Anolis sagrei: one gene and its partners. The protein of the gene in region 2 purifies or fractionates together with the protein of the main gene of each other region. This does not show direct contact. Links are inferred from orthologs where the notes say so. Each region holds a gene or a part of one and is shown on either strand. Other genes may lie near its edges.

Evidence for each region.
Region 1: the proteins of PSMA4 (region 2) and POMP fractionate together in Homo sapiens (co-fractionation; 4 studies listed by BioGRID and IntAct, with this or other methods). This does not show direct contact. The link is inferred for Anolis sagrei from reciprocal best matches to the Homo sapiens genes PSMA4 and POMP.
Region 3: the proteins of PSMA4 (region 2) and PSME4 purify together in Homo sapiens (affinity purification with mass spectrometry; 4 studies listed by BioGRID and IntAct, with this or other methods). This does not show direct contact. The link is inferred for Anolis sagrei from reciprocal best matches to the Homo sapiens genes PSMA4 and PSME4.
Region 4: the proteins of PSMA4 (region 2) and NFKBIA purify together in Homo sapiens (affinity purification with western blotting; 3 studies listed by BioGRID and IntAct, with this or other methods). This does not show direct contact. The link is inferred for Anolis sagrei from reciprocal best matches to the Homo sapiens genes PSMA4 and NFKBIA.

Annotation. Positions count from the first base shown.
Region 1 is NC_090023.1:31,782,362-31,790,193, forward strand, and holds the start of POMP (proteasome maturation protein), read left to right. Parts: upstream 1-4,541; 5' UTR 4,542-4,648; coding exon 4,649-4,651; intron 4,652-7,832. UniProt on the Homo sapiens protein: Molecular chaperone essential for the assembly of standard proteasomes and immunoproteasomes. Degraded after completion of proteasome maturation. Mediates the association of 20S preproteasome with the endoplasmic reticulum.
Region 2 is NC_090029.1:11,847,795-11,855,820, reverse strand, and holds the start of PSMA4 (proteasome subunit alpha type-4), read left to right. Parts: upstream 1-4,566; 5' UTR 4,567-4,654; intron 4,655-8,026. Other genes in the region: HYKK (hydroxylysine kinase), read left to right, coding at 70-253, 2,039-2,487. UniProt on the Homo sapiens protein: Component of the 20S core proteasome complex involved in the proteolytic degradation of most intracellular proteins. This complex plays numerous essential roles within the cell by associating with different regulatory particles.
Region 3 is NC_090021.1:17,252,204-17,260,619, forward strand, and holds the start of PSME4 (proteasome activator complex subunit 4), read left to right. Parts: upstream 1-4,871; 5' UTR 4,872-5,035; coding exon 5,036-5,238; intron 5,239-8,416. UniProt on the Homo sapiens protein: Associated component of the proteasome that specifically recognizes acetylated histones and promotes ATP- and ubiquitin-independent degradation of core histones during spermatogenesis and DNA damage response.
Region 4 is NC_090021.1:301,262,282-301,269,946, reverse strand, and holds the start of NFKBIA (NF-kappa-B inhibitor alpha), read left to right. Parts: upstream 1-4,384; 5' UTR 4,385-4,475; coding exon 4,476-4,693; intron 4,694-5,494; coding exon 5,495-5,603; intron 5,604-6,865; coding exon 6,866-7,073; intron 7,074-7,665. UniProt on the Homo sapiens protein: Inhibits the activity of dimeric NF-kappa-B/REL complexes by trapping REL (RELA/p65 and NFKB1/p50) dimers in the cytoplasm by masking their nuclear localization signals.

The DNA of each region.
Region 1 (7,832 bases), on a different chromosome or scaffold from region 2:
TTTTTTCAACACACTGCTGCTAAACAGGAACTTTATACTTTTCTTTCAAAAATAAAATAGAACGGGATAAACTTTTTAAAAAGTTAAGTTCCTGTGTAGTGGCACTGTCCAGAAGAAAAAAATGTATGAAATTATCAGCACTAAACCAAACTAACATATGACTATTTATTACTTATAGCTATACATTGTTGCAAACATAACAGGATACAAGATAACAGGATACAAGATGTGAATGCAGAATGGTACAATGACAGTTGGAATGGCCTTGGATTTTGATATTGAATTACGTGATTTTAATAACTGGATTTTAATGTTTGATACGTTTTTAGCAGTTTTTAATGTATATATTTATTTGCTCGATGTATGTTGTGTAGCATTGAATTGTGCCTTATATGTTAGGCGCTCTGAATCCCCTTTGGAGTGAGAAGGGTGGGATATAAATATAGCAAATAAATAAATAAATACACAAATAGCAAAATGAATGGCAAAAGTGTAAAAAACATTTCTTTTAAAAATACCAGTACATGTAAAAATGATACAAAATTATCCCTTCTCCATTCAACAAAACTTCTTTTAAAAGGCCCCATTTGCTGGGGTTAGGAACACAGGGCCCCTGTAAAAGTGAAAAACCACTGTTGTATTGGAGATACAACAAAGTACCATACAATGAACGCCTATGTCCTGTGAGGACGAGACAGTGGAAACTGTGAAGCACGTTTTGTTGTACTGCTCTTTTTACCGTGACCTTCGTAAACATTTTATAAATCCAATTCTAGAAAGTCTACCAGGGAGATCTGCAAGATTTTATACAGATTATCTCCTGTCTGACTAACACCCCAAGGTCACTGTCAGGATTGCTAGCTTCTGTGCAGCAGCTATGGCTTGTTGCCCCAAGATGCTGACACAGACTTAGAAAGTTTTAACATATATTTTATCATTCATATCTTAGTATTTGAATGTTTAACACCACTTTAATTACCATATTCAATATTGGGTTTTAAACTCTGTTTTAACATTGCTTCCTGATACCCGGATGTGTGTGTAACCTGATGCTTGTATACTTCTGTACTTGTGCTTGTACATGTGTGCGTACTCTGACACTTGCACACCCTGTCACTTGTACCTTTTTTATGCTGGTCATTGGCCGTAATAAATGTATATATATATATAACCACAAATAAAGCATTGCTTTTTTTTTAACCTGAGAGAATTCTTTTCTAGGAATGGCCAAATCTGCTGAAAACTGACCATAGAATTGCACTGAAGGATTGTTGTTGTTCATTCATTCAGTCGTCTCCGACTCTTCGTGACCTCATGGACCAGCCCACGCCAGAGCTCCCTGTCGGCCGTCACCACCCCCAGCTCCTTCAAGGTCAGTCCAGTCACTTCAAGGATGCCATCCATCCATCTTGCCCTTGGTTGGCCCCTCTTCCTTCCTGAAGGATATAATAATAATAATAATAATAATAATAATAATAATAGAAATCTCTGGGGCCCTATCTACGCTGCCATATAATGCAGATTGAAATGTTATATGGGCAGTGTTAACCCATATAACACAGTTAAAACTGACCATATGATGCAGTTTCAAACTGCATTATAAGGTAGTGTAGATGAGGCCCCTGTCTTCCAGCATGACTGGAAGTAATTGACCATAAAGTCACAATGGAGGAACTCGAGATTCTTAGAAAAACAAATCCATGAATAATCAAATTTGCAAATGTGGAAATGATTGTAATGTCAACTGTCATTCAGATTCTATTTGGTGCTATTGCAAAAGTTGTAGCATGGTAGGATCCTTGGCCCTTCTCCTCAGATAACATATAGAATACTATAACAGATCACTATATAAAATATAAAATAACAGCAGAGGAGATGCTCTTTAAAATAGGGATCTAATGGACAACACATTAAACTTTCTATAGAAACTTTCTATAGAAACTTTCTATAGAGCTTTTAAAGATGGCAATCAAATTATATGTCAAACTTCTCCATGCTTAAATTATCCATCTCTTCAATCCTTTTTCATGGGGCTTGGTTTCTAGACCTTTTACCATGAGGTCACGGAGAGTCAGAAGCATCTGAACAAATAAACAACAAATTAAATGTAAATGAAAAGTTCTCATGAGATATGATGAGTCTCCACACATTTTATTACAATTTATGTATGTATCTCTTATACATGGTTGGTTTAACCTCTGGGTTGTTAGTAGAACTGAATAACTGTGTCACAAAATGATGCATGTCTAAAAAGGTGTGCCACCAACGTGAAATGTTTAGAAAGCTCTGCTCTAAAGCTGCAAATGCTGCCAGAACCAGATAAAGTGTACCCAAGGATATCAAACGAACAAATAAATAATTATTTTCAGAGCATTTTTCTACCATCTTTGCAGAACTGAGGCAGACAAATATTTTTAGCATAAAAGCGAGGAGGGAGGAGGATCTGGTGAGCAACCCTCATCCATGTAATTCCAAGACCAGAAAAGACTCCAAAAGAAGTCATTAAATTGTCAAATTGTGAGTGCTTTCTCCTCGCAAACACCTGGCCCTTCCTTCTACTCTGACAATCCTTTTTGGCATTGTCGGTGGTGACCTTACAGAAGAAACAAGAGGCATGTCTTAAGTTGCTCATAAAACGTTCCAGTCCATGGGTGCTCATAAAGCCTTCTTAAGGCGCTTATATGAAATCATAAAAGGACAGGGCACCAATCCATAATATCACATTGCACATGATCATTATTACATTTGCGCATTTCCTACATGCCTTTTAAAGATAAATAAAATTGAGACATTTCTGAATTAGGAATTCCCAAACCATGTACTGGGTTAGTGAAAACGCTTGAGCACAGGCTGAAATTCTTTATATGGTAGCTGATTTTGACTTTTTTATTGTGTCTGAAGTGAATTGAGAATACAGTTGAAATGTATAAAAAAATACAAATAAAGTTAAAAACTTGGCATTATACTGTATTTTCTTTGACCAGAAGCTGGCCGCTTTTGAGTGCCTCTGATGTTGCTGTAAGGGGTTCCTCCATTGTGCATGTTGCAGGGCTCAGACTGCATTGTAGTAAATCTGTGGTTTGCTCTTTTCCACACTCACATGTCATGGACTCCACTTTGTGGCCCCATTTCTTAAGGTTGGCTCTGTATCTCGTGGTGCCAGAGCACAGTCTGTTCAGCACCTTCCAAGTAACCCAGTCTTCTATGTGCCCATATTTCTCATTTGGTATCAGCCACTGATTGAGGCTCCAGGTTTTAGCCTGCCATTTTGGGACTTTCGCTTGCTGAGGTGTTCCTGGGAATATCCCTGTAGATCTTAGGAAGCTATTTCTTCCTGCACCTGTACCTTGAGACACCTGACTTGGCCAATGGTAGTCCACACCTCAGTCACATCCCATTCGGACTACTGCAACACTCTCTTTGTGGGGCTGCCTTTGAAGATAGTTTGGAAGCTTCAGCTGGTCCAGAAATTGGCAGCCAGGTTACTACTTGGAGCATCGTTCAGGGAGAAACCAACTCCCATGCTGTGGCAGCTCAATTGCCTGCTGGTTTTCTTCTGGGCTTTTTGTGTGTGTGTGTGTGTCAGGAGCGACTTGAGAAAATGCATTCATTGATGTGCTGGCTTATATCCAAACAGGGGATGAGCTGGAGATGTCACTGCTTTGGTCCCTTCACTATTGATTGCTACTTCCCGGCGGATGTCAGGTGGGTGAGGTGAGGTGCCAACATTTGGCAGGGAAGATTAAAGACCTTGGAACTCTTCAATTCCATTTTTTTTGTCGTGTCAGGAGCGACCTGAGAAACTGCAAGTCACTTCTGGTGTGAGAGAATTGGCCGTCTTCAAGGACATTGCCCAGAGGATGCCCAGATGATTTTGATGTTTTATCATCTTTGTGGGAGGCTTCTCTCATGTCCCTGCATGAGGAGCTGGAGCTGATAGTGGGAGCTCATCCGCCTCTCCCTGGATTTGAACCTGCGACCTGTCGGTCTTCAGTCCTGCCGGCACAGGGTTTTAACCCACTGCGCCACCGGGGGCTCCTTCAATTCCAATGGCAGTCACAGTGATGTCGGACTGCATGGATTTCACAGTCAATGACATGAAGTAGGAAAAGAAAGAAAAGAAAGGAGATTCAATCTGAACATGAGGAAGAATTTCCTGACTGTGAGAGCTGTTCAGCAGTGGAACTCTCTGCCCAGGAGCTTCTTTGGAAGCTTTTAAACAGAGGCTGGATGGCCATCTGTCAGGGGTGCTTTGAATGCAATATTCCTGCTTCTTGGCAGAAGGGGGCTGGACTGGGTGGCCCATGAGGTCTCTTCCAACTCTTTGATTCTAAGAGCTCTAAAACTTTTGCAGCAAAGCTCTGCTCTCCACCCCTCCACCCTCCTTCCCTTTTTCAGATCAGGGTCCCCCAAGTGCGCAGGCGCACGACGCCTCCAAGCCCCGCCCCCCTGCCTCTCGCGCGCACAGAAGGAGAAAGCGGGCTCTTCGTTTTCTTTTGCCCGAATCCTTGTCACGTGATACTCTCACTCACTCACTCTCTCTCTCTCTCCCTATGCGCGCGGGAGGGGCGTGCTTACGTCACCGCGCCTCTTCCCATCGCTCCTCGCAGCCGGAAGGAAGTCCTTGGTGCCTAGTGACTGTGCAAAGATGGTAAGCGGAGGGGCTGGAAGAGGGGTGAGAGTGAGTCCACATAAATACACCTGTGAGGGGAGGGGGCCTGCAAAGGAGGTGGGTGGGGTGAAGCCCCAATCGAGGGAAATGTGGGCATTCCGCCGGAGATGGTTTCTTTTTCGCCCCGGAGACATGGCCGGTCCTGGTTCGCCTCCAGTGGTTCTCAACCTGGGGTCCCCAGATATTTTTGGCCTACAATTCCCAGAAATCCCAGCCAGTTTAGCAGCTGTTAGGATTTCTAGAAGTTGAAGGCCAAAAACATCTGGGGACCCCAGGTTGAGAACCACTGGGTGGAGCATCCCTTCTTCGAAATGCTCGGGCCCACAAGTGTTTGGGATTTGAGGGTTTTTAAAATGAATTTTGGAAGGTTCTCAAATATAGTCATGAGATATCTCTGAGGTACAGTGAGGTCGCCGTCTAAATGAGAATTTATTTATTTACCACATTTATATACCGCCTTTCTCAGCCCGACGATGACTCCAGGCGGTTTACAGTCGGCAATCAATGCCCCCAACAACATAAAATATAATTAAAAACATTAACATATAACATAAGCCATATAAAAACAGTAGAAACAATAAAAACAATAACAATAATTAAACAATTAATTTTTTTTTGTCGCGTCAGGAGTGATTCCTGGTGTGAGAGAATTGGCCGTCTGCAAGGACATTGCCCAGGGGACGCCTGGATGATTTTTGATGTTTTTATCATCCTTGTGGGAGGCTTCCCTCATGCCCCCGCATGAGGAGCTGGAGCTGATAGAGGGAGCTCATCCGCCTCTCCCCGGATTCGAACCTGCGACCTGTCGGTCTTCAGTCCTGCCGGCACCCAGGTTTAACCCACTGTGCCACCAGGGGCTCCATAAACAATTAAATAAACATTTAAACAATTAAATTAATTGCTTCAAACAATTAAATTAAACAATTAAACAATAACAAGAATTAATGCATTTCCAACCTCACTTTAACTGCCATGGCTCCAAGATATCGAACCATGGGAGTTGTAGTTTTATAAGCTTTCCAGCCTTTTCTGCCAAAAAAAGTATTGGCGCCTCAGCAGACTACAAATCCCAGGATTCCGTGGCATTGAGCTCTGACAATTAAAGTGGTACCAAACTGCATTCATTCCACAGTGTAGGTCAGGCATGGGCCAACTTGAGCCCTCCAGGTGTTTTGGACTTCAACTTCCACAATTCCTAACAATCCCAGCCCCCTTCCTTTTCCCCCTCAGGCCCCATTCTTTTCCTTTTATGATATGCAGGATGGACACAGCATATTATTCGAGAACACAGAAATGCTGGATCACTCGAACAATCACCATGTCAGACTACACAGAGAAACCATTGAAATCCACAAGCATGTGGATTTCAACAGAAAGGAGGAAACCATGAAAAGGAACAAAATCTGGCTACCAGTATTAAAAAAAACTCTAAAATTAGAACAGCACAACAACAGAGAGGAAACAAACAAGGACATCTAATCACCTCTCAACAAAAGATTGCTCCAGGCACTGCCAGGCAATCAAATGCTAATCAAGGTGGTCAGTTGAAACATTCACACCTAGCTCCAGCAGACAAGAGTCCTTTGTCTCACCCTGGTCATTCCACAGATATATAAACCCTTTTTCCTAGTTCTAACAGACCTCACTACCTCTGAGGATGCTTGCCATAGATGCAGGTGAAACGTCAGGAGAAATGCCTCTAGAACATGGCCATGTAGCCCGAAAAAACATACAACAACCCTATGCAGGATGTGTTTTCATTCACTGGATCACTTAAGTGGCTGAGGGGGAAATGGAAAGGGCCTGAGGCTGTTAGGAATCGTGGAAATTGAAGTCTAAACCACCTGGAGGGAGGGTCCAAGTTGGCCCAGGCCTGATCTTAAGTGGCTGAGGGGGAAAAGGAAGGGGCCTGAGGCTGTTAGGAATTGTGGGAGTTGAAGTCCAAAACACCTGGAGGGCCCAAGTTGGCCCACGCCTGGTGTAGCAGCACCCTGAGAATGGGACACATGTCTAAACGAGACATCTATTTGAAACAAGAAGGAAAATCAATTGCTTCCAATGTAGAGGCTGGGGAAGGAGGAAGGTAAGGTTTCAAATAATAACAATAAACTTTATTTGTATCCCGCCCTATGGCCCCAATGGGGACTTACGGCTGTTCACAACATAAAATGACAGTATTCAAATGCCGTGTAATACAACTAATCAATAAATATGACATGACATAAATTTAAAATGACATAGTAAATCTTAACGTAAGCAATAACAAGACATTACCACCTAATTAAACAAAAACTAACAATACAATGTAACTCAACTAATACAAGACAAAAAGTTCTCAAATTGATAAAAATGTTAAAAGACGTTATAAATTCAAAAGGATATAAACCCAAAGGAGCAGTCATTTCCATGTTCTGAGCTCATTTATAATGCTGAATATTTAATTTGTCCTTCTCCTTATGTGCTTGCAAACATAATGATAAAAGTAAAGGTTTCCCTTGACATTAAGTGTAGTCATGTCTGACTCTGGGGGTGGTGTTCATCTCCATTTCTAAGCTGAAGAGCCAGCATTGTCTGTAGACGCCTCCAAGGTCATGTGGCTGGCATGACTGCATGAAGCACTGTTACCTTCACACTGAAGTGGTACTTATTGATCTACTCACATTTACATGTTTTCGAACTGCTAGGTTGGCAGAAACTGGGGCTAACAGTGTGAGCTCACCCTGCTTCCCAGATTCAAACTGCCGACCTTTCGGTCAGCAAGTTCATAGCTCAGCCATTTAACCTGCTGTGCCACTGGAGGCAGAAACGTTATTGATTGTTTTACTACACTTAGCTTAAAGATGACCTTAGACACGTTTTAAAATTTTTGAGAATGAAATGAAGTGTGTGTACATTAAACCATGTGAAAGCAAAGGCGTCACTTACTATCCCAGATCACCCCTATGGATAATTTCCGATTTTGGATGACCAGATAAGGGATGCTCAAACTGCAATTCATTCAGCCACAATGCATAGTACACAATTCTGCTCTTTATCTTCCTTCTTCACCAGTCTTTACATTTGCAAAAATTGATTTCCCTTTGTTTCAGTTCATACCGTCTTTTGAGCCATGCCATGTGTGAAGTTGGAGATAAGAGCGCATCTTGTGGATATTTATTTT
Region 2 (8,026 bases):
ATCCTGAGATTGTGAGGTCTGTTGGAAAGTAGGAAAATGACTTATGTGTATTCCTTTTTCCGCAAATAGAAATTTCAGCATCCGTCGACAAAGAGTCTTCACCGAGGGGAATTCATCTGGAATCTGGCCAACGTCCCTCTCCTGAAGCGGTACATTCGCGCCTTGGGTCAGAGCAGTTACCTAGACGTGGTGAAGCAGGTGATAGAGCAATTTGACGCCAAAATCGTGCCAAAATTAAGCTCCTTTCGGCCTTGTAAGTGGTTTTAAGCACTTTGATACAATTATTGGTATATCTGGAGAGGATATATTCCTGTCCAGAACAAGCTTCTGGTCCGAAAATACCAAAGTGTGCATCTATACTGTAAAATTAATGCAGTTTCATACCACTTTAACTGCCATGGCTCAATGCTATGACATCACTGGAGATGGGAGTTTGACAAAGTCTTTACTTGGTGCCTCCCTAGACTTCCTGGAATCCATAGCACGGAGCTATAGCAGTCCAAGCCTTGTCAAATTGCATTCATTCCATAATGGAGATCAGGCCTGGGCAAACTTCGGCCCTCCCGGTGTTTTGGACTTCAACTCCCACAATTCCTAACAGCCGGTAGGAATGTTAACACCGGGAAGGCTGAAGTTTGCCTGCACCTGGTGTAGATGCATCCAAAAATATATCCAAGCAATAATAATCTTAAGTACTTCAAATAAAATTGGAATAAAATCTATTTTAACTGCTATTTAACTAAATTTGCATTAATAAAACTGTTTTTGTAATACAGTAAAACGGTATTACATTAAGTACAGTTTGAAAATTATTGTTGATATTCTTGTTATTATTAAAATCCTCACTCAGTCATGAAAACCACTTGGGCTATTATTATTTTTGTTGTTGTTATTATTATTATTAAATTCCCACTCAGTCATGAAAACCACTTGGGATATGATGATGATTATTAAATTCCCACTCAGTAATGTCATGAAAACCACTTGGGCAATTATTATTATTATTATTATTATTATTATTATTATCATTATTATTAAATCCCCACTCAGTCATGAAAACCACTTGGGATAGGATGATGATGGTGATTATTATTATTATTATTAAATCCCCACTCAGTAATGTCATTAAAACCACTTGGGCTATTATTATTATTATTATTATTTTTAAATCCCCAGTCATGAAAACCACTTGGGATATGATGATGATGATGATTATTATTAAATCTCCACTCAGTAATGTCGTGAAAACCACTTGGGCAATTATATTATTATTATTATTATTATTATTATTATTAAATCCCCACTCAGTAATGTCATGAAAACCACTTGGGATATGATGATGATGATTATTATTATTAAATCCCCACTCAGTTATGAAAACCACTTGGGATATGATGATGATGATGATGATTATTATTATTACATTCTCAGTAATGTCATGAAAACCACTTGGGCAATTATTATTATTATTATTATTATTAAATCCCCAATCATGAAACCACTTGGGATATTATGATGATAATGATTAAGATTATTATGATTATGATTATTATTAAATCCCCACTCAGTAATGTCATTAAAACCACTTGGGCAATCATTATTGTTATTATTAGTATTAAATCCCCACTCAGTCATGAAAGTCAACTTGGGATATGATGATGATGATGATTATTAAATCCTCACTCAGTAATATCATGAAAACCACTTGGGCAATTATTATTATTATTATTATTATTATTATTATTATTATTAAATCCCCACTCAGTCATGAAAACCACTTGGGATATGATGATGATGATGATGATGATGATGATTATTATTATTATTATTAAATCCTCATGACCCCAAGTGGTCATGAAAACCACTTGGGCAATTATTATAGATAAATATAATAAATATAATAATATATTCCTATCAGTCACGAAAACCACTTGAGCACTTCATTGCAACTCTAAAGCAATCCCAAACCACCTTTATCGACCTCTACTTTTGCAAATCAATGAATTTTCTACCTGGGTTTTCCTTCTCGTTCCTTTAGGCATCAATCACGGTGACCTCAACGACCACAATATTTTAATAGAAGCCGATTCCTCTTCCCCTGGAAAGCCAAGATACAGAGTGTCGGGGATTTTGGACTTCTGCGACATGAGTTATGGCTATTTCGTCTTCGAAGTGGCCATCGCCATCATGTACATGATGATCGAAAGCCAGGATCCCATCCGCGTGGGAGGCCACGTCTTGGCCGGATTCGAGAGCGTGGTGCCTTTGACCCCGGAGGAACGGGCCGCCCTTTTCCTGCTGGTCAGCGGGAGATTCGTCCAGTCCCTTGTGATGGCGGCCCACACCAGTCTCCAGCACCCTGAGAATAAGGACTATTTGATGATCACGGCCAAGACGGGGTGGAAGCACCTGATGACTCTCTCTGAGATGGGCCAAGAGGCCGTTGAGAAGATCTGGTTTGAGACCGCAAAGGCTTACGATACCTGAATTGACTTTCACAAGCCTGTAGTTGCGGACCTGATTTGCAATAAATTTCCTGGGCATTCTTGGGATTGTAATCTATGGCCATGAATGAATGAAAACATCACACAGACCTAGAAACTTGGGAAGTGTTCGACGTGGGATCCAATACAAAAGCCAACAGTGTTCTTGTTTGCTGTGTACTAATCCTGTTGTGTAAATAATAAAGAATTATTATTATTATTATTATTATTATTGGGTTCTTGTAGGTTTTTTCGGGCTATATGGCCATGGTCTAGAGGCATTCTCTCCTGACGTTTCGCCTGCATCTATGGCAAGCATCCTCAGAGGTAGTGAGGTCTGTTGGAACTAGGAAAATGGGTTTATATATCTGTGGAATGACCAGGGTGGGACAAAGGACTCTTGTCTGCTGGAGCTAGGTGTGAATGTTTCAACTGATCACCTTGATTAGCATTTGATGGCCTGGCAGTGCCTGGAGCAAACTTTTGTTGAGAAGTGACATAACTACAAATTTTTAAACATAAAATTAATTAGAATTAAAATGTGTAAATATAAACATTGAAATGGTATTAAAACATAGGATTAGAAAGAGTGAAAATAAATTAAAATACACAAATACATGGAATCTATGAAACTATATAACTACAAATTATTAAACATAAAATTAATTAGAATTGACTCCATTAAGGATAAGAACACAGAAAAGCTTTTTTTTTTTTACTTCACCACTGCTGCAAGAATAGTGGTAGCTAGAATATGGAAATCCAAGGAGGCACCAACTGTGGAGCAATGGTTACTGAAAATATGGGATATTATGAATATGGACATCCTCACCCATAAAATCTCGCAGAGCATAGCAAAACCCCCTAGGACTAACTGGGAGGGCTTTCTGTATTGCATAAAAGGGCTATATAATGAGATATATATTAGTACTATACATTAATGAAACTTGAAGGTAAAGTAATAGGAAACTGGCGATTACACCATTACTAATATAGATAACAGAAAAGAAAAGGGGATTAAAGTATAGTTTACTCCCCGGTGCCTGACCAGCAAAACCTGGAAGTATTTTAAAATTTACTCGGGGAATAATTGTTGGTGTTGGTAAGTGTTGTTATTGATTAATCATTGTATTGTATTCAGTCGTATGTCTGTTTATTCGTTCGTATGTTTGTTTGTATTGTCTCTTTGCACTAATACATTTCTCTTCTATCAGCTCCTCTAAGAGCAATATCTTCTAAATAAACATATTCCAAAAAAATTTAATTAGAATTAAAATGTGTAAATATAAACATTGAAATGGTATTAAAATATAGGATTAAAAAGAGAGAAAATAATTTAAAATACACAAATACATAGATTATATGAAACTACATTACAAATATTAAGCATAAAATTAATTAAAATTAAAATGTGTAAATATAAACATTGAAATGGGATAAAAACACAGGATTAAAAAGAGTGAAAATAAATTAAAATACACAAATACATGGAATCTGAAACTACATAACTACAAATTATTAAGCACAAAATTTAAATGTCTAAATATAAACATTGAAATGGGATTAAAATATAGGATTAAAAAGAGAGAAAATAAATTAAAATATATAAATATATGGAATATTTGAAACTACATAACTACACATTATTAAGCATAAAATTAATTATAATTAAAATGTGCAAATATAAACATTGAAATGGGATTAAAACACAGGATTAAAAAGAGAGAAAATAAATTAAAATACATAAATACATGGAATCTATGAAACTACATAACTACAAATTATTAAGCATAAAATTAATTAAAATTAAAATGTGTAAATATAAATATTGAAATGGGATCAAAACACAAGATTAGAAAGAGTGAAAATAAATTAAAATACATGGAATCTATGAAACTGCAGAAATACATGGGATCCAGCCTACTGCAGCTTTGATTCCTTGCTGGCAAGATCTGATGCACTTTAGATGGGAAGGATGATCTCAAATGCCCACACTCATCATGGCGTTTCTGGCGACACGGAAGTCCGGTCTGAAGTAACGTAGCGGGCCAATGGGAACTTCCGAGGAACGAACGCTCTGTCCGAAGCCACGCCCCCTCTCTATAGTTAGCGCAGTGCGCTTGCGCGGGGAGTGGCGGCCATTTTGGATACCGGCTGAGGCGGAACTGAGGGTAAGTGTTACTTCTGAGGGAGGGAAAGGGGGCTTTTGGGGCCTAGTCGGCCTTTCTTGCGAGGCAGCCTGAGCCCGGGACCTTCGAGGATCTTCCGTGTCCCTGTTCGTGCCTCTTCAGCCCTTCTCTGTCTTCTCCGTCGGGCGAGGAGGATTCTTGGGGCGAGGATGACTCGGCAAGGCTGTCACTCTCTGGAAAAGGCCTGGGCCAAATGAGGCCTTATTTAGTTATTTCTCGTGTCAGGGCAACCAGTCAATTGTATTACATTTCTAACAGAACAAAACAAACAAACAGGCAGACAAAACACAAAGACAAAACCCTGACTTGGCCACGGTAGTCCACGCACTGGTTACATCCCGTATAGATTACTGCAACGCTCTCTACGTGGGGTTGCCTTTGAAGACGGCTCGGAAGCTACAAATGGTCCAACGATCGGCAGCCAGGATGCTAACAGGAGCGGCACTCAGGGAGCATACAACTCCTCTGTTGCGCCAGCTCCACTGGCTGCCAATTTGCTACCGGGCACAATTCAAAGTGCTGGCTTTAGCTTTTAAAGCCCTAAACGGTTCTGGCCCGACCTATCTGTCCGAACGCATCACCCCCTATGAACCAGTTAGGACATTAAGCACGGCTGACGGGGACGAGAGACAAGGCCTTCTCAGTGGTGGCCCCTTAGCTGTGGAACGCCCTTTCCGCAGACGTTAGATCGGCCCCCTCCCTGCTGGCGTTCAGGAGAAGAGTGAAGACCTGGCTCTTTGAACAGGCATTCAATTAAGTAGTGCAATCAATTGACTGAGTTTGGAACTTGGAATTTGGAACTTGGAATAATGGACGAGGAGATCGGATTATGACTTTACTGATGAGACGTGTTGGATTTGTTGTTGTTGTTCATTCGTTCAGTCGTCTCCGACTCTTCGTGACCTCATGGACCAGCCCACGCCAGAGCTCCCTGTTGGCCGTTACCACCCCCAGCTCCTTCAAGGTCAGTCCAGTCACTTCAAGGATGCCATCCATCCATCTTGCTCTTGGTCGGCCCCTCTTCCTTTTGTCTTCCACTTTCCCCAGCATCATTGTCTTCTCTAGGCTTTGCTGTCTCCTCATGATGTGGCCAAAGTACTTCAACTTTGTCTCTAGTATCCTTCCTTCCAGTGAGCAGTGAGTTGGATTAGTTATATGGATGTATTGATGTCATGTTGATTTACTGATGTGTCGTTGTATTGTTTTAGTTGCTTTAGTTATTGTTTAAATGTTAATGCTAATGCTTTGCACTTTGTATATTGACCTGTTGTAAACCGCACTGAGTCGCCTACGGGCTGAGATAGTGCGGTATACAAATAAAGTAAGTAAGTAAATAAATAAATAAAGTTTGCAAGCTTGGTAGTTGATTAGATGTTCTTTGACCAGTATCTGGCCACTTGGAGTGCCTCTGGTGTTGCCGCAAGAAGGTCCTCCATTGTGCATGTGGCAGGGCTCAGGGTGCATTGCAGCAGGTGGCCAGTGGTTCTGAGAGTGGTCCCGCATTTCCTTGTTCTCAAATAATATGCTGACACCTCCCAACAAAGGATTCCTTCAGGCAGGAGTCAGGCAGGCCTTGAAGCTACAAGGCTTGGCAATGCTAATCAAGGTGGCCAATTGCAACATTTACACTCCCTTCCAACAGACAAGAGTTCTTTCTCCCACTCTGGACATCATTCCACAGATATATAAACCCAATTTCCCTAGTTTCCAACAGACCTCACAACTTCTGAGGATGCCTGAAATAGATGGGGGTTATTTATTTACCGTGTCATCAGCAAACAGACAGTTGTATTACATTTTTAACAAAAACAAATAAACAAACAGACAAAACACAGAGTTTGCAAGCTTGGTAGTTGATTAAATGTCCTTTGACCAGTATCTGGCCACTTGGAGTGCCTCTGGTGTCGCCGCAAGGAGGTCCTCCATTGTGCATGTGGCTGGGCTCAGGTTGCATTGCAGCAGGTGGTCAGTGGTTTGCTCTTCTCCACACACGCGTGTCGTGGATTCCACTTTGTAGACCCATTTCTTGAGGTTGGCTCTGCATCTCGTGGTGCCAGAACGCAGTCTGTTCAGCGCCTTCCAACTCGCCCAGTCTTCTGTGTGCCCAGGAGGGAGTCTCTCAATGGGTATTAGCCATTGGGTTTGAGCCTGCCATTTTTGGACTCTCGCTTGCTGAGGTGTTCCAGCAAGTGTCTCTGTAGATCTAAGAAAACTATTTCTTGATTTAATTTGTTGACGTGCTGGCTGATACCCAAACAAGGGATGAGCTGGAGATGTCATTGACTTGGTCCTTTCACTATTGGCTGCTACTTCCCAGCGGATGTCAGGTGGTGCAATACCGGCTAAACAGTGTAGTTTCTCCAGTGGTGTAGGGCGCAGACACCCCGTGATAATGTGGCATGTCTCATTAAGAGCCACATCCACTGTTTTAGCGTGGTGAGATGTGTTCCACACTGGGCATGCATACTCCGCAGCAGAGTAGCACAGCGCAAGGGCAGATGCCTTCACTGTGTCTGGTTGTGATCCCCAGGTTATGCCAGTCAGCTTTCGTATTATATTATTTCTAGCACCCACTTTTTGCTTGATGTTTAAGCAGTGCTTCTTGTAGGTCAGAGCACGGTCCAGATTACTCCCAGGGATTTGGGTGTGTTGCAATGCTCCAGTGGGATTCCTTCCCAGGTAATCCTCAGAGCTCAGGATGCTTGTCCGTTCAAAGTGGTCTTTACAGAAGACATCTTCACATGCATCACACTTCAGAGGTAGAAAGTCCAATTGTTTACAAGTCTTCTCAGAGCAATGTTCACCCAGGTTTGGGAATTCAGTTACTAGGAAGTCGTCTCCTTCTCAACAAGACTGTCACCACCCATAGATGCAGGCGAAACATCAGGAGAGAATGCCTCTAGAACATGGCCATATAGCCCGAAAAAAACCTACAGCAACCAAATAATAAGCATTATAAGCTTCATTTGTATCTCGCCTCCTCTCCCCAAAGGGACTTGGGACAACCTACAGCAAAACAAATCAGTACAGTATTTAATTACTATTTATTTACTGTATTTGTATGCCGCCCCTCTCTCTCTTACTTACTTACTTAGGCGATCCCTCGTAGTCCGAGGATGATGGTCGTCCAAGAGTAGTGTCCTGGCGTTGTTTCCGTAGGTGCCCTCGGAGCTTTATTCTTGACTTGCATCTTCTCCCGCAGTGAGGGCATCGGTTTCCAGGTAGAAGGCGGTCCCGGTTGGGTTTGGCTAGACACGCCATCTTCTTGGCACATTTCTCTCTTTCGCCCTCCATTCGTGCCTCTTCAAATTCTGCAGCACTGCTGGTCACAGCTGACCGCCAACTGGAGCTCTC
Region 3 (8,416 bases), on a different chromosome or scaffold from region 2:
TGAGGACCGGGACATCCGTAGGGATACCAAGGTGCTTGTTTATAAAGCTATCGTCCTCCCAACCCTGCTATATGCCTGCGAGACGTGGACAGTCTACAGACGTCACATGCAACTCCTGGAACGATTCCATCAGCGCTGCCTCCGGAAAATCCTGCAGATCTTTTGGGAAGACAGGCGGACAAACGTCAGTGTGCTGGAAGAAGCAAAGACCACCAGCATTGAAGCGATGGTCCTCCGGCATCAGCTCCGCTGGACTGGCCATGTTGTTTGGATGCCCGACCACCGTCTCCCAAAGCAGTTGCTCTACTCCGTACTCAAGAACGGAAAAGAGAATGTTGGTGGACAGGAAAAGAGATTTAAAGATGGGCTCAAAGCCAACCTTAAAAACTCTGGCATAGACACCGAGAACTTGGAAGTCCTGGCCCTTGAGCGCTCCAGCTGGAGGTCAGCTGTGACCAGCAGTGCTGCAGAATTTGAATTGGCACAAATGGAGGGCGAAAGAGAGAAATGTGCCAAGAGGAAGGCCTGTCAAGCCAACCCCGACTGAGACCGCCTTCCACCTGGAAACCAATGCCCTCACTGTGGGAGAACATGCAGATCGAGAATAGGGCTCCACAGTCACCTACGGACCCACCAGAATACTGATTCTGGAAGACCATCCTACTTGGCCAATGAGGGATCGCCTAAGTAAGTAAGTAAGTAAGTAAGTAAGGTTTAGCAACTTTCTTAGGCCCCTTCTACACTGTCCTTATATCCCAGGTTCTGATTTTAGATTATCTGTTTATCACAGATTATGTGGCAGTGAAGACTCATATAATCCAGTTCAAAGAAGAAAACCTGGGATCAATCCTGGGATATAAGGACAATGTAGAAAGGGCTGTAGGCAGCCTATAAAACTTCTACCCCAGTTTGGATTCAAAGTGTTGTTTATAGAGGTGAAATTTAATTTTTCACAACTTTTGTGGACTCTTCATCTGCCTTAGCAAAAATACCTGAGTCCAGTGGCACCTTAAAAGGCCAATACATTTGTGTTTGGCATCAGCTTTCATGGAGTGCAGCCTCTCCAATGATGTAAACAAGCAAAAATGAAATATTAATATGGTTTTTAATTTTTTGGTTGTTTAATCTCATATACTGCATTTTGTATAAATAGCAGGGCTGTTGAGGATAGGTGTGCTGGTACAGCTGTACCAGAAGCTCCCACTTTATTTGCCTTGTATTAAGTGTTTGCTTGTAGCCCAAGGCTTGGGATTCTGTAGAAGGGTGGCTTCCTGTTAAAGTTTGCAGTTATAGGGCAGGCCCCCTGTCCCTCATCGTTAAGTTTGGTTCTGCCCCCTGTTCAGGACAATTGAGAAGGGAAGGGAGCCATTTTCAGTCAGTCTCAGCTAGGTTAGCCAATGTACAGGACGTGTGTACAGACTTCTCCTGTACAAAGGCTTCAACCCTTAAGACTTCCCGGGGGAGAACAGTCTTAAGAACAAAAGGATTCCCAAAGATTTCCAGGGAAACAGCCCTAAAGCTCTGAGGAATTTTGGAGGGAAAAGCAGCTTTGAATATCTAAGAACTCCAGCTGAAGTTACTACAGGCCTACTGGTAGGCCCACTTGGTGCTTTGAGACGCATTCAACCCAGTAGTGGCGCCCACATCAGTTAGGTTTAGGTTCACAGTCAACCTGGGAGAAGTTTGGAAAGGGATTTTCCTTAGAGTAAAAGTAACAGTTAGAAGCCACCAGTTGCACAAAGGCCTGGAAGCATTTGTTTAACCTTTTGAAGACAAAGGAAGTTTCTGTTGATTGTTCACCAATAAAAGAATTTGTTATATTTCACAAACCCTCTAAAGACTGTTTGTGGTGAAAATCCTTATGAATTTCTCTTCGGACCCCCTGGCTTCCCACTGGGCTAAAGTTACACGTCCTGTTTTAAAAGCAATTTATTTCAAGCCCAGCGTGCAACAGAACAATAGGTTAACTTGGAGATCTAACATCCATAAGGTGCCCTAAGTCAAAGCCAACTTGAAATCAGCTGACAACAAAAAAAAGCACGCAGTAATGATAATTACTCTATATATTAATGTATAAGTCTAGACATTTTAGTTTAAAATCCAATGTGAATACTGTACCTGAGCTCTTATAAAAAAGGATCCCTCCTCTTCTCTGAATAGAGTGGTGAAAGGCAAGTGCTTAGTCTGTTCCAGATGGTGAAGGGGATGATGGCAAATTGCAGTATGTCCTCCACATTCGGTGGGGTTAGATTCCTAGAATGAACATATTTTATCAAATCCGTGAATAACCAAATCCTCAAAAATAATATCTGTAAACATGGAGGGAGGGCTGCTGGTTATCATATAGTTCTGTACATGGCTCTGAGTCTGCAAGACCTCAGGTGAGTTGTAGTGGAAAGGGTTTCTTGGAGATCTCTCATTTATAGGAGCACCAAAGTTGACTTAAAGGCAAAAAAAGAATGTGTGGTAATGATAAAGATGACAAACTAATTACACAACGTCAACACTGTACAGGATGTTCAACAAGAAAAAAGCGCAGTTCCCTTGCCCTCAGGCTTAACAATCTGAAGACATGACACAAGGAAAGGGCATGGCACTGTTGAGGAGCAGATGACTTGGAAGTCTCTCATTCATAAGTTAAAGTGAGCTGATGGCAACAAAGAACATGTTGTGATGATGAAGATGAAGGTGTTTGACAAGGACAAAACAGTTCCCTTGCCCTCAGGCTTAATAATTTAGAGACACCTCAGACAAGGGAAAGGAACGGCAGTGTGGGAGTGGGTCAAGCCCAGTGTTCTCCTACCTCTCAGTTTCTCCTCACAGGTGTGGGTTTGTGTGGAGATTTTACGTTTCCTCCCTATGTAGTGCCTCCTTCATATTAAGCCTGAGTGGCCCCCCTAGATGCCAAAATTATTGTACCATGGATATATCACAAGAAGCCATGTCTGACTAGAAAAGAAATTGAATCTGACACCACAATTGAAGAGAGATATTGACAAGCTGGAATGTGTCCAGAGGAGGGCGACTAAAATGATCAAGGGTCTGGAGAATAAGCCCTATGAGGAGTGGTTTAAAGAGCTGGGCATGTTTAGCCAGAAGAAGAGAAAGCTGAGAGGAGACATGTTAGCCATGTATAAATATGTGAGAGGAAGCCACAGGGAGGAGGGAGCAAGCTTGTTTTCAGCTGCTCTGGAGAATAGGACGTGGAACAATGGCTTCAAACTACAAGAAAGGATATTCCATCTGAACATTAGGAAGAACTTCCTGACTGTGAGAGCCGTTCAGCAGTGGAACTCTCTGCCCCAGAGTGTGGTGGAGGCTCCTTCTTTGGAAGCTTTTAAACAGAGGCTGGATAGCCATCTGTCAGGGGTGATTTGAATGCAATATTCCTGTTTGGCAGGGGGTTGGACTGGATGGCCCATGAGGTCTCTTCCAACTCTTTGATTCTATGATTCTAGGAGATGGTCCATGGTTTCATCAGCTTCCTTGCACAGTCTGCATTTTGGGTCATCTGCTGATTTTTCAATCCTGGCCTTAATTGCATTGGTTCTGATGGCTTGCTCCTGGGCTGCAAGAATCAGGCCGTCTGTCTCCTTCTTCGTGAGCCATAACCAGGTCTTCTCCTTGTCAACTTTTCCTTCAATTTTGTCAAGGAACTGCCCATGCAAGGCTTTGTTGTGCCAGCTGTCCGCTCTGGTTTGGAGTGCAGTTTTCTTGTACTGACTCTTTGTCTGCTGTGCTTTGGGAAGTTTCTGATTATTGACTTCAATTATTATTATCATTTGTTTTTGGATTTGTTGTTCATTCGTTCAGTTGTCTCCGACTCTTTGTGACCTCATGGACTAGCCCACGCCAGAGCTCCCTGTCGGCTGTCACCACCTTCAAGGTCGGTCCAGTCACTTCAAGGATGCCATCCATCCATCTTGCCCTTGGTCGGCCCCTCTTCCTTTTACCTTCCACTTTCCCCAGCAAAATTGTCTTCTCTAGGCTTTGCTGTCTCCTCATGATGTGGCCAAAGTACTTCAACTTTGTCTCTAATATCCTTCCCTCCAGTGAGCAGTCGGGCTTTATTTCCTGGAGGATGGACTGGTTGGATCTTCTCGCAGTCCAAGGCACTCTCAGCACTTTCCTCCAACACCACAGCTCAAAAGCATCGATCTTCCTTTGCTCAGCCTTCCCTAAGGTCCAGCTCTCACATCCGTAGGTTACTACAGGGAATACCATGGCTTTGACTAGGCGGATCTTTGTTGCCAGTCTGATGTCTCTACTCTGTACTATTTTATCGAGACTGGACATTGCTCTCCTCCCAAGAAGTAAGCGTCTTCTGATTTCCTGGCCACAGTCTGCATCTGCAGTCATCTTTGCACCTAGAAATACAAAGTCTGTCACGGCCTCCACGGTTTCTCCCTCTATTTTTGGATACTCTGCTATATTTTCGGGTAGTTTCCCCTAACATCTGCAAAGGCGTTTAGAGTGGTTTGTAGGTTTTCTTCTGTATGAGCACAGAGTGTGTTATCATCAGCATATTGGCGTTCTTGTACAGGCAACAGTGATGGAATCGTTCTAGGAGTGTGACAATGTAGACAGTCCATATTTGCAGGCGTTTCACAGCATTGGGAGGACAATGGCTTTATGGGCCGACTTGGGCCCTCCCTCCAAATGTTTTGGAGCCTCAGGCCCCTTCCTTCCTTTCCCCCCTCAGCCTCTTAAGCTTCCCTCAGGCGGGAGAGGAGAGGCTGTAATCCAAAGGCACCTCAGGCAAGGCATGGCCGTGTGGGCGTGTCCTCCAGTTCCCCCCTCCACTTCCTCCTCCCCCCTCCCCTCCCCTCCCCTCCCTCACCGGAAGTGACCTGTGCCCCTCCCGCCCCCTCCAGCGCGAGGCCGGCGGTCGTTGGTTCGCTGCTTCCGTGGCTTCCTTCGTCACCAGGCGCCGCTGTGACAGGAGCCGAGCCGGCCAGAAGGCAGGCAGGCAGGCAGGCGCCTCCTCCTCCTCGTCGTCCTCCTCGTCGCCCTCCACCGCCGTCGCCCCGCAGCCATGGCCGGCCTCGGGAGCGGGCCCCGGCCTCCCGGAGCGGCCTGGCAGAAGGAGCTGGTCTACAACAAGCTGCTGCCCTACGGAGAGCGCCTGGAGGCCGAGGCCGGCCTGCTGTTGGCGCAAATCAAGCTCAGCCTCGGGCGGGCCGTACAGCTGCAGGAGCTCTGGCCAGGGGGACTCTTCTGGACCAGGAAGCTCTCCACGTGAGTGGCAGAAGGACACCCCCACCCCACACCCCACCCAAAGTGGCCCTGGGGTGAGCTAGGAGGGCAGGGGGAGGCGGGGTGGAGCCCTGAAGAGGGTTGAGTGTCCCTTTGGAACACTCCAGAACTCCCCCCCCCCTTCTCTCCATCCCAAAGGGTAGAGGATAGGCGTGTGAGAAGCCCCCTGCTCTCCTTCCCTCCATCCCAAAGGAAGTGTGTGAGTGGCCCTGGGGTGGCCTAGGAGGGCAGGTGGAGGCAGGATGGAGCCCTAAAGAGGGTTGAGTGTTCCTTTGACAGACTGCAGAACCTTCCCCCCTTCCCTCCATCCCAAAGGGTTGAGGATAGGCGTGTGAGTGGCCCTGGGGTGGGTTAGGAGGGCAGGGGGAGGTGGGATGAAGCCCTAAAGAGGGTTGAGTGACCCTTTGAGAGATTCCAGAACTCCCCCCCCCCCTTCTCTCCATTCCAAAGGGTTGAGGATAGGTGTGTGAGTGGCCCTGGGGTAGGCTAGAAGGGCAGGTGTAGACAGGCTGAAGTCCTAAAGAGGGTTGAGTGTCCCTTTGAGAGACTCCAGAAGCCCCCCACTCTCCTTCCCTCCATCCCAAAGGAGGTGTGTGAGTGGCCCTGGGGTGGGCTAGGAGGGCAAGGGGAGGCGGGATGGAGCCCTAAAGAGGGTTGAGTTTCCCTTTGAGAGACTCCAGAACTCCCCCCCCCTTCTCTCCATCCCAAAGGGTAGGGGATAGGCGTGTGAGAAGCCCCCCACTCTCCTTCCCTCCATCCCAAAGGAGGCGTGTGAGTGGCCCTGGGGTAGGCTAAAAGGGCAGGTGTAGACAGGATGAAGACCTAAAGAGGGTTGAGTGTCCCTTTGAGAGATTCCAGAAGCCCCCCACTCTCCAAAGGAGGCGTGTGATTGGCCCTGGGGTAGGCTAGAAGGGCAGGTGGAGGTGGGATGAAGCCTTAAAGAGGGTTGAGTGACCCTTTGAGAGATTCCAGAAGCCCCCCACCCCCTTCTCTCCATCCCAAAAGGTTGGGGATGGGTGTGTGAGTGGCCCTGTTTTAGGCTAGAAGGGCAGGTGGAGGCAGGATGAAGCCCTAAAGAGGGTTGAATGTCCTTTTTAAAGACTCCAGAAGCCCCCCACCTCCATCCAAAGGAGGCGTGAGAGTGGCCCTGGGGTAGGCTAGAAGGGCAGGTAGAGGCAGGATGAAGCCCTAAAGAGGGTTGAGTGTCCCTTTGAGAGACTCCAGAACTCCCCCCCTTCCCTCCATCCCAAAGGTCAAGGATAGGCATGTGAGTGGCCCTGGGGTGGGCTAGAAGGGCAGGTGGAGGCAGGATGAAGCCCTGAAGAGAGTTAGTGTCCCTTTGAAAGACTCCAGAAGCTCCCCACTCCCTTCCTTCCATCCCAAAGGGTCGAGGATAGGTGTGTGAGTGGTACTGGGGTGGGCTGGAAGGGCAGGTGGAGGCGGGATGAAGCCCTGAAGAGGTTTGAGTGTCCCTTTGAGAGACTCCAGATGCCCCCTACGCTCCTTCCCTCCATCCCAAAAAGTTGAGGATAGGTGTGTGAGTGGCCCTGGGGTGGGCTCGAAGGCCAGGTGGAGGCAGAACGAAGGCCTATATAGGGTCACGTGTTCATTTGAAAGACTCAAGAAGCCCACCCAGCCTTCCTCTATTCAAAAGGACTGGGGGTAGGTGTGTTAGTTGGCTGGAAGGGCATTGTCCATACTTGCTAAAGACGGTTCCTTTGAAAGACTCCCAAAATTGGAAGAAATCTTGAAAGTGGAAAGGTTTGTTTTGAGAAAGGTTCCAGAAGCCCACACTCTCCCTTCCTCCATCCATCCATCCATCCATCCATCCATCCAAAAGGGTTGAGGATAGGCATGTTACTGACCCTGAAGGGCAGGTGGAGGCAGGATGAAGCCCTAAAGAGGGTTACTTTGAAAGACTCCTGAAATTGGATAAAGTCTTAAAAGGGGGAAGGTTTGCTTGGGAAGGGCTCCAGAAGCCCCTCCCCTCTCCCTCGATCCAAAAGGGTCCAGGATAGGCATGTGAGTGGCCCATGGATGGGCTAGGAGGGCAGGTGGAGAGACTCCAGAAGCCCCTCCCTCCAAAAGAGTTGAGGATAGGTGTGATAGTGGTCTGGAAGGGCACTGGCCATGCCTGCTAAAGAGGAGGAAAGATTTTGTGGCAGGATAAAGAAGGCTGGGACAAGGTCAAGCCTTACAAGGGGAATTTTTATTTTTTAAAAGCTCCAGAACCCACCTTTCCAAAAAGTTGGAGGGTGATCTTGTGGGTGGCTGTGGGGTGAGGAGAAGTTAGGGCAGGATTTAGTCCTCAGAGGAGCATGGTCTCCTTTCAAAACCCCCCTCCAAAAGGGGGGCATTTTGTTAGTTGGGGGGGGGGGGTGAGCTGGAAAGGGTTTACGATGAGTGAAAAAAGTTTAGGCAGGATGACACCTGCTTTCCATTTAAGGACTTCAGGACACCATCCAAATGATTGATGGTAGTAAGATAACCCCCCCCCCCCCCTTGAGCTTAGTTAGGGGAGCCCCCAGTGGCACAATGAGATAAACCCTTGTGCCAGCAGGACTCAAGATCAACAGGTTGGAGGCTCGAATCCGGGAAGAGCTCGGATGTGCTCCCTCTGTCATCTCCAGCTCCCCATGCGGGGACATGAGAGAAGCCTCCCACAAGGATGGTAAAACATCAAACATCCGGGTGTCCCTTGAGCAACATCCTTGCAGTCAGCCAATTATCTCACAGGAGAAGTGACTTGCAGTTTTTTAAGTCACTCCTGACACACACAAAAAGCTTAGTTGGGGATATTTATCATTCTCAATGGAGGGTCATGTTTGATGTCCTGGTTTAGTTTTTGTTATCATTGTCCCCCTTCCCAGGCTTTTCTTCTAGAGAGTTTCCTAGTTTTCTTGTGTCTGGGGACAATTTCTTCCCACTTCTCCCTCCTGGTCCCACTCCTCATGTTTGGAACTATATTTGTTACTGATAAGATGGGTGATACACCCTTCATAATTCAGTGTCTTAGAGTGTACTGTAAGTGTATTGTTATTAAGGTGTCCCTAATTAGTAAAACATATTAAGTAAAAGCTGGTAAAAAACCTCGAGCATGTTTGCTAGGGAATAAACTTCTCTTATTATTTGTGCTCCCAGGGACATGTGTTTAGAATAG
Region 4 (7,665 bases), on a different chromosome or scaffold from region 2:
CCCACTCCTTCTCATCAAGCTCCTCTCCTAGCCTTTTAGTGTTCCTTGGATTTTCCCAGATGGTGCACCCACCAATTTGCACATTATCAAGGAAAGATCCATATTTACAGGCGTCGTATTTTGGGGAAAACATGTTCACCACTATTGATGTCTTCATTTTGAAAAAAACTTCTAAAAGATTTCCATAAAGAATCCACTTGGAAAGTTCCATACTTGGAAAAAAAAAAACCCAAGGAACCCCCCCCCCCCCCACACACACACACAGACACATTATTCTTAGGCAGTAATCTAATCTCCAAAGACATAGAGTTCCAGCTTCTTGTCGTGCTTCACTTAAACTATTTATGCCTGACAAAAAGCTGAAGCAAACCCAAAGCTGCTGCCTCAAGCGTTTAAGGAAATGCAGCATAAACAGTTTTTAAATAAACCAGGCTGTCACTGCAAACTTTGTCCCCATGTTGGACTCACGTGCATGGGATGGTTGCTACAAGCATCTAAAGACTAATGTTTTCCTTGAATCCCTGGCCTCATCTACACTGACCACTTAAGTCAGTTTCAAGACGGTATAGAAGAAAGCAATTTCATTGTGCAATGATTACATATGAAATCCTGGAATCAGCTTGAGGACCAGGTGATTATACAAACCACCAAATCTGGCCTTGAACCGGTTTCAGGATCCATGGTTTGACAGCCCCTAAGAATGATTTTTTAAAAGAAAAAAATCCCCAACCAGAATGCACATCTTCACATCAGCAGAGTGCTTTGGGTGCCTGCACAGTGATTCACATTCTGCAGAGCCAATTTTGCTTTGAAATGGAGTTTATACTGGAATACCGTAATGCACATTAAGGGCTTTCTTTTGGACTTTCCCCTGACTTAGTTTATGTTGGTTTAAAGTCCTTAAAGCACGCTACAGCATGCTTTATCAGCATGCATTTTCTAAACGCCAGAGTTTGAAGCTAGCTAGCAACTGAATCAAATATAGATGGGGCCCCTGTCTGTTTTACAGTCTCTAAAAACTAGTCATGGGGGAGAAGATAAAATCTGATCATGCCTTTTAAATGTGCACCAAATGTCTTAGCAAAAAATAAATGGCACTCTATCAAAAATGTTGCAGCATGTTGTAGTATATTCATCTGTGCAATCATGCAATGGTGAAGTGTGTAGGTGCGTGCATACATGTGTGTGCATATATGTGTGTGAAGTTTGTTTCAAAAAGGTACCAACTCCAACTGGACATATTTTACAGGAATTTAAAAAAACATGCTGAGGATATGCAATAAAATGCAATTTTCCAAGCCCAAGCCCTATACTGAAGTGAATTGATACATGTTGACAGTTTGATCTGTATTCTACTCACAGCCAACAATGTGCTGCCACATAGAAAACTCTCTCTCTCTCTCTCTCTCTCTCTCTCTCTATATATATATATATAATTTTGCTGTATCCTCATGTTTGCAAGCTGCAATATTATTGATAAGATATTATTTATTTATTTATTTGCAGTATTTATATTCCGCCCTTCACACCCCAAAGGGGACTCAAGGTGGATTACAATGCACATATACATGCAAACATTCAATGCCATTTAGACATGCAACATATATAGACATAGAGGCAATTTAACATTTCAGCGTTTCCAGCTTCATGAGGGTATGCTTGTTTCCGGTCACAGGGGGAGCTGCCACTTCACTGTCTACTTGTGACACCGGGTCCTTTGATGAAGTACTTCCCAATTCTTCTGCATGCTGCAGGAAGGTTTTATGGCGTCGTTAAATTAGCCTCCCCACAAAAAGCGGTACTTAAATCTCCTACTTGACAGATGCAACTGTCTTTCAGGCTTCATAGGTTGACAGCAAGCTAGACTATTAATGGTTGGGAGCTTACTCTGACCCGGGCTGTCTTTGAACTCAGAACCTCTCAGTCAGTAGTAATTTTATGCAGCTAACTAACTAGCTGCGCCACAGCCAGGTCCATATTCTATGTTACTTTGTGATGTACACTGAGATGTATTTGTAACACATAGATAGATAGTAGGCTTGGTTGCTCCAAAAAAAAAAAAAAAGATTCAAAACTCCTTTTGGATATAGGGGGTGCTGGTGGTTTGATTCTAAAGTCACTTCCAAATTTTTCCAAAAGAAAGTCAGAACTTTCCGAAACTTCCGTCTTTAGGCTCTGGGACTAGCTTTACTGGCTTGTGCCAATCTTTGCAGTTCGATCTTTAAATCATCGTATCATGTCAGCATTTCCAGTTGTTTATTATTATTTGGAACACAACGTGTCCACAGCAAACAAGATCACTCTGCTGGCTGTTGTATTGGATCACACATCGGACACACATCGGACACTTTGCAAGTGTCTAGAACTGTGTGATGTATTGGTGAATAATGCGTGCATATCCCAGTAGGGTGGCCTTTTGCAACTGACAGATGGTAATTTTGTTAGCGCGGATTGTACTTAAGTGCAGGCCAAGGTCTTTAGGCACTGCACCCAATGTGCCAATCACCACTGGGACCACCTTTACTGGCTTGCGCCAGAGTCTTTACTGGCTTGCGCCAGAGTCTAAATCCTCATATTGTGGATTTAGAAACAGCTTTTCAAGTTGTTTCTCTTCAATCCTGCTGTCGCCTGGGATTGCAACATCAACTATCCATACTTGGTTTTAACACAAATGTGAGGTCAAGAGTATTGTGCTCCAAAACTCTGTCTGTCTGAATTTGGAAGTCCCAGAGTAGTTTGACGTGTTCATTTTCTGTAACTTTTTCAGGCTTGTGATCCCACTAGTTCTTTGTCACAGGCAGATCATAGAATCATAGAATCAAAGAGTTGGAAGAGACCTCATGGGCCATCCAGTCCAACCCCCTGCCAAGAAGCAGGAATATTGCATTCAAATCACCCTTGACAGATGGCCATCCAGCCTCTGCTTAAAAGCCTCCAAAGAAGGAGCCTCCACCACACTCCGGGGCAGAGAGTTCCACTGCTGAATGGCTCTCACAGTCAGGAAGTTCTTCCTCATGTTCAGATGGAATCTCCTCTCTTGTAGTTTGAAGCCATTGTTCCGCGTCCTAGTCTCCAGGGAAGCAGGAAACAAGCTTGCTCCCTCCTCCCTGTGGCTTCTTCTCACATATTTATACATGGCTATCATATCCCCTCTCAGCCTTCTCTTCTTCAGGCTAAACATGCCCAGCTCCTTAAGCCGCTCCTCATAGGGCTTGTTCTCCAGACCTTTTATCATTTTAGTCGCTCTCCTCTGGACACATTCCAGCTTGTCAATATCTCTCTTGAATTGTGGTGCCCAGAACTGGACACAATATTCCAGATGTGGTCTAACCAAAACAGAATAGAGCGGTAGCATGACTTCCCTGGATCTAGGCGCTATGCTCCTATTGATGCAGGCCAAAATCCCATTGGCTTTTTTTGCCGCCACATCACATTGTTGGCTCATGTTTAACTTGTTGTCCACGAGGACTCCAAGATCTTTTTCACACGTAGTGCTCTCGAGCCAGGCATCCTCCATTCTGTATCTTTGCATTTCGTTTTTCCTGCCAAAGTGGAGTATCTTGCATTTGTCACTGTTGAACTTCATTTTGTTAGTTTTGGCCCATTTCTCTAATCTGTCAAGATCGTTTTGAATCCTGCTCCTGTCCTCTGGAGTATTGGCTATCCCTCCCAATTTGGTGTCGTCTGCAAACTTGATGAGGAAGAACTTCCTGACTGTGAGAGCCGTTCAGCAGTGGAACTCTCTGCCCTGGAGTGTAGTGGAGGCTCCTTCTTTGGAAGCTTTTAAACAGAGGCTGGATGGCCATCTGTCAGGGGTGATTTGAATGCAACATTCCTACCTCTTGGCAGGAGGTTGGACTGGATGGCCCATGAGGTCTCTTCCAACTCTATGATTCTATGAAAGGACATTTAACCAACTACCAAGCTTGCAAACTTTGTGTTTTGTTTGTTTGTTAAAAAATGCAATGCAACTGTTTGGTCTGCCCCTGACGCGATAAATAAATACCCAATAATAATAATAATAATAATAATAATAATGCCACCCCATCCCCTTCCTTTTGTGGGTGTCCCTACGAAAATAACATGCCACCCAAGGCCAGATTAGTTTACTAGAGGGGGGAAAAACAGATAGGGAGGAAAATCCCAAGAAGGAATGGTTGGGCCTTGTTTTGTCTTTCTTCTCAAGGGGCAAAGATTGAGACAAGGGGGGGGGGGCAGTTGGGGTGGCTTCTCCTGAGTCACATAACAAGCCGTGGAGAAGAGAAGTACTTTCCCTGGTGTGGAAAAAAAAGCACCAAGTTTCCGAGGGAATTCCTCTCTGGCTGGCTGGGCTGGGAAATTCCCGCCGCCAGGCTCCTCCCCGCCGAGAAATCCCCTTCCAGGCGAGGCGCTATAGGCCCGAGCCAGCCCCGCCCGCCCGCCTTTCTCTCTCGCTTCTCCTCCTTCAGGCACATTTCTCTCCTCTCCTCCTCGACATGCTCAGCCCTGCTGTGGATCTCTTCGCCATGGAGGCCCCGAAGAAGGAGCGCCAGCTGGACCAGGACCGCCATGACAGCGGCCTGGACTCTATGAAGGATGAGGAGTATGAAGATCTGGTTCGGGAGCTGGAAGGCATCCGTTTGCAGCCGGTTCTCCCCGACGTGGCGGCTCCTCAGGCGGCTTGGAAGCAGCAAGTGACCGAAGATGGAGACACGTAAGTCCTCAGGGAAGAAAGGAAGGGGTTTCTGCAAAGTTGGGCCTTGGAGGTGTTTTGGACTACAACTCCCAGCATGCCTCACGGCCTCAGGCCCTTTCCTTTTGCCCCTCCGCCGTTTAAGCGGCGGAGGGGCAAAAGGAAAGGGCCTGAGGCCGTGAGGCATGCTGGGAGTTGTAGTCCAAAAACCTCCAAGGCCCAAGTTGGCCCATACCTGATCTACTTTGCCCAAACTTGAGTTCCCCACTTTCTGTTCATTCTTTCCTTCCTCCTCCTTTGTTTTTTCCCCTTTCCTCCTCCAGTTACATAAAAATCCTGGGGAATTTTTTTCTTTTTGCAAGGCTGGGTTTTTCCAGCCTTCCATTCTTCCTTTTGGGCGGGGCTTCAGGGAGGGGTGGGCGTGGCTTATTGTCCTCGAGGCGCCCGCCTGGAAAGTCCCTGGCCGCGCGCCAGGGACACCGCGCTCTCTCACACTGCTTCCTCCTCTCCTTTCGGAAAACACCCGGATGCACGCTCAGGCGCATGCGCGAGCCTTGGAAACTCCAAGCTTTCAACATCTGGTCCTGACATGTGGGATGTCTATGTGCTTCCTTTCCTTTGACAAAGCTGATCTCAGGGATTATTTTAAAAACACTTAGGGAATTTGGGTATGTGGTATGTTTGGGGAGGTTTTACTTATTTTTCTCTATTTTACCTATTTTCCTATTTTCACTCTTTTATTATTATTCTGAAATTGTTGCTAATAAAAATGATTTTTTTTTAAAATTAATGTTTTTTTTCTCTCTTTCTGTACATTTGCAGATTTCTCCATCTGGCAATTATTCACGAGGAAAAGTCCCTGAGTTTGGAAATCATTCGCCAAGCGGAACGAGACACGGCTTTCCTGAATTTCCAGAATAACCTCAATCAGGTACTTTAAGAGAGTTGGAAGAGATGTTGTGGGCCATCCAATCCAACCCCATGGGAAATCGCATTCGAAGCACCCCCGACAGATGGCCATCCAGCCTCTGCTTAAAAGCCTCCCAAAGAAGGAACCTCCACCACACTCCAGGGCAGAGAGTTCCACCGCTGAACAGCTTTCATAGTCAGGAAGTCTTTCCTCATGTTCAAGTGGAATCTCCTTTCTTGTAGTTTGAAGTCATTGTTCCGCGGGCAGGAGAAAACAAGGCTGCTCCCTATGATTTCCCCTTCACATATTTATACATGACCCTCAATATGTCTCCTCTCAGCCTTCTCTTCTGTAGGCTAAATATTCCCCGCTCTTAAGCCACTCCTCATAGGGCTAGTTCTCCAGACCCTTGATCATTTTAGTCCCCCTCCTCTGGACGCCTTCCAGCTTGTCCCCATCTCCCTTCAATTGGGGTGCCCAAAATTGGACACAATATTCCAGATGTGGTCTGACCAAGGCAGAATAGAGGGTCAGGAAAGAATGCTTCTGTAACATGGCCATACAGGCTGGAAACCTCACAGCAAACCAGATCTTGAACTGTTATCCCCAAAGTAAACAAACAAAAAAAAAGAATTGGTAGTAGGGGACATCATCCATTAAGTTGCCCATTTGGATTCATCTACACCAGGCACCCTCCAGCTGTTTGGACCTCCAACATGCAGTAGCCCTATCCGGCTTGTTCAATGGTCAGGGTCCCCAGATGTTTTTGGCCTTCAAGTCCTAACAGCTTGTAAAGTGGCTGGGATTTCTGGGAGTTGTAGGCCATAAATATCTGGGGACTACAGGTTGAGAATCACTGCCCTAGGCTCGTGGGAAGAGCCCGCTATTCAGAGACGAATCCCAGACACTTGGGGCCCTTCCAGGCAGGCCCTATATCCTAGGATCCGATCCCAGGTTTTTTGCTTTAAACTGGATTATATGACTCCTCACCAAATAATCTGTGATAAACAGAAAACCTGGGATCAGATCCTTGGATATAGGGCCTGGCTGGAAGGGACCTCAGACTTCAACTTGGGGATGGTTCATTACAAAATTAATGCAGCTTGATACCACTTTAATTGCTGTAGCTCAGTGCTATGGAATTGTGGGAGTTGCAGTTTTGCAAGGTCTTTGCAAACAATCATGCATATCTAACCACTTCCTCATTAGAAATGGTGCTTGAAGTGAGGGTTTGAAGTCTAGTAGAATTCCTTTGCTTATCAGGCCATTCTTTGCCCTTGCAGACTCCACTCCACTTGGCTGTGATCACGGACCAGCCAGAGATCGCGGAGACTCTCCTGAAAGTCGGATGTGACCCAGAGATCAGAGATTTCCGAGGAAACACTCCTCTGCACATTGCTTGTGAGCGGGGCTCTCTCAGCAGCGTCGGTGTCCTCACACAGTATTGTCAGAAGCAAGTCTGCTCCCTCCTACAGTCATCCAACTACAATGGTAAGCTCATATCTGATATACCACTGACGTCAACTTGCCCAGTCATTGCACACTTCGACCTCTGGCATCATAGTTTTGCCCAATGAATAAGTGACTTTCTTGGCTAGCTCTCAATAAAGATTACTGGGGCAAGTGTCACGTAGTTAAGAGAAGGCATGCAGGGTTTTTCCCCCTGATCCATTCATAGCAAGTTTTCCCAGGCGTTTTGGAGTACAGCTTCTACAGCAAGCATGGGCAAACCAGCTGTTAGGAATTGTGGGAGTTGAAGTCCAAAACACCCAGAGAGCCAAAGTTTGCCCACACGTATTCTGTAGTATGGTAATTTAGCTGTATAATTGAGACTTATGAAAGCTGGAAGTTCAAGGCATCTTCTTCCTCGCATTCATATACAAGTATGGATCCAATATCCATAGTTTCACTTGCCCAGGCTCCAGAAAATAGCCTCACTGTACCCCAAGGTGTTTGTGGGTCCTCCAGTTTCCAAGTATCGTCAAAACATTAGGTTCACTATTATCCACTGTTTCAGAAATCCTCAGAGGATCTTGGACATTTAGAATTACTTGTTTTTGGGGGGTAAACAGTATATTATTGT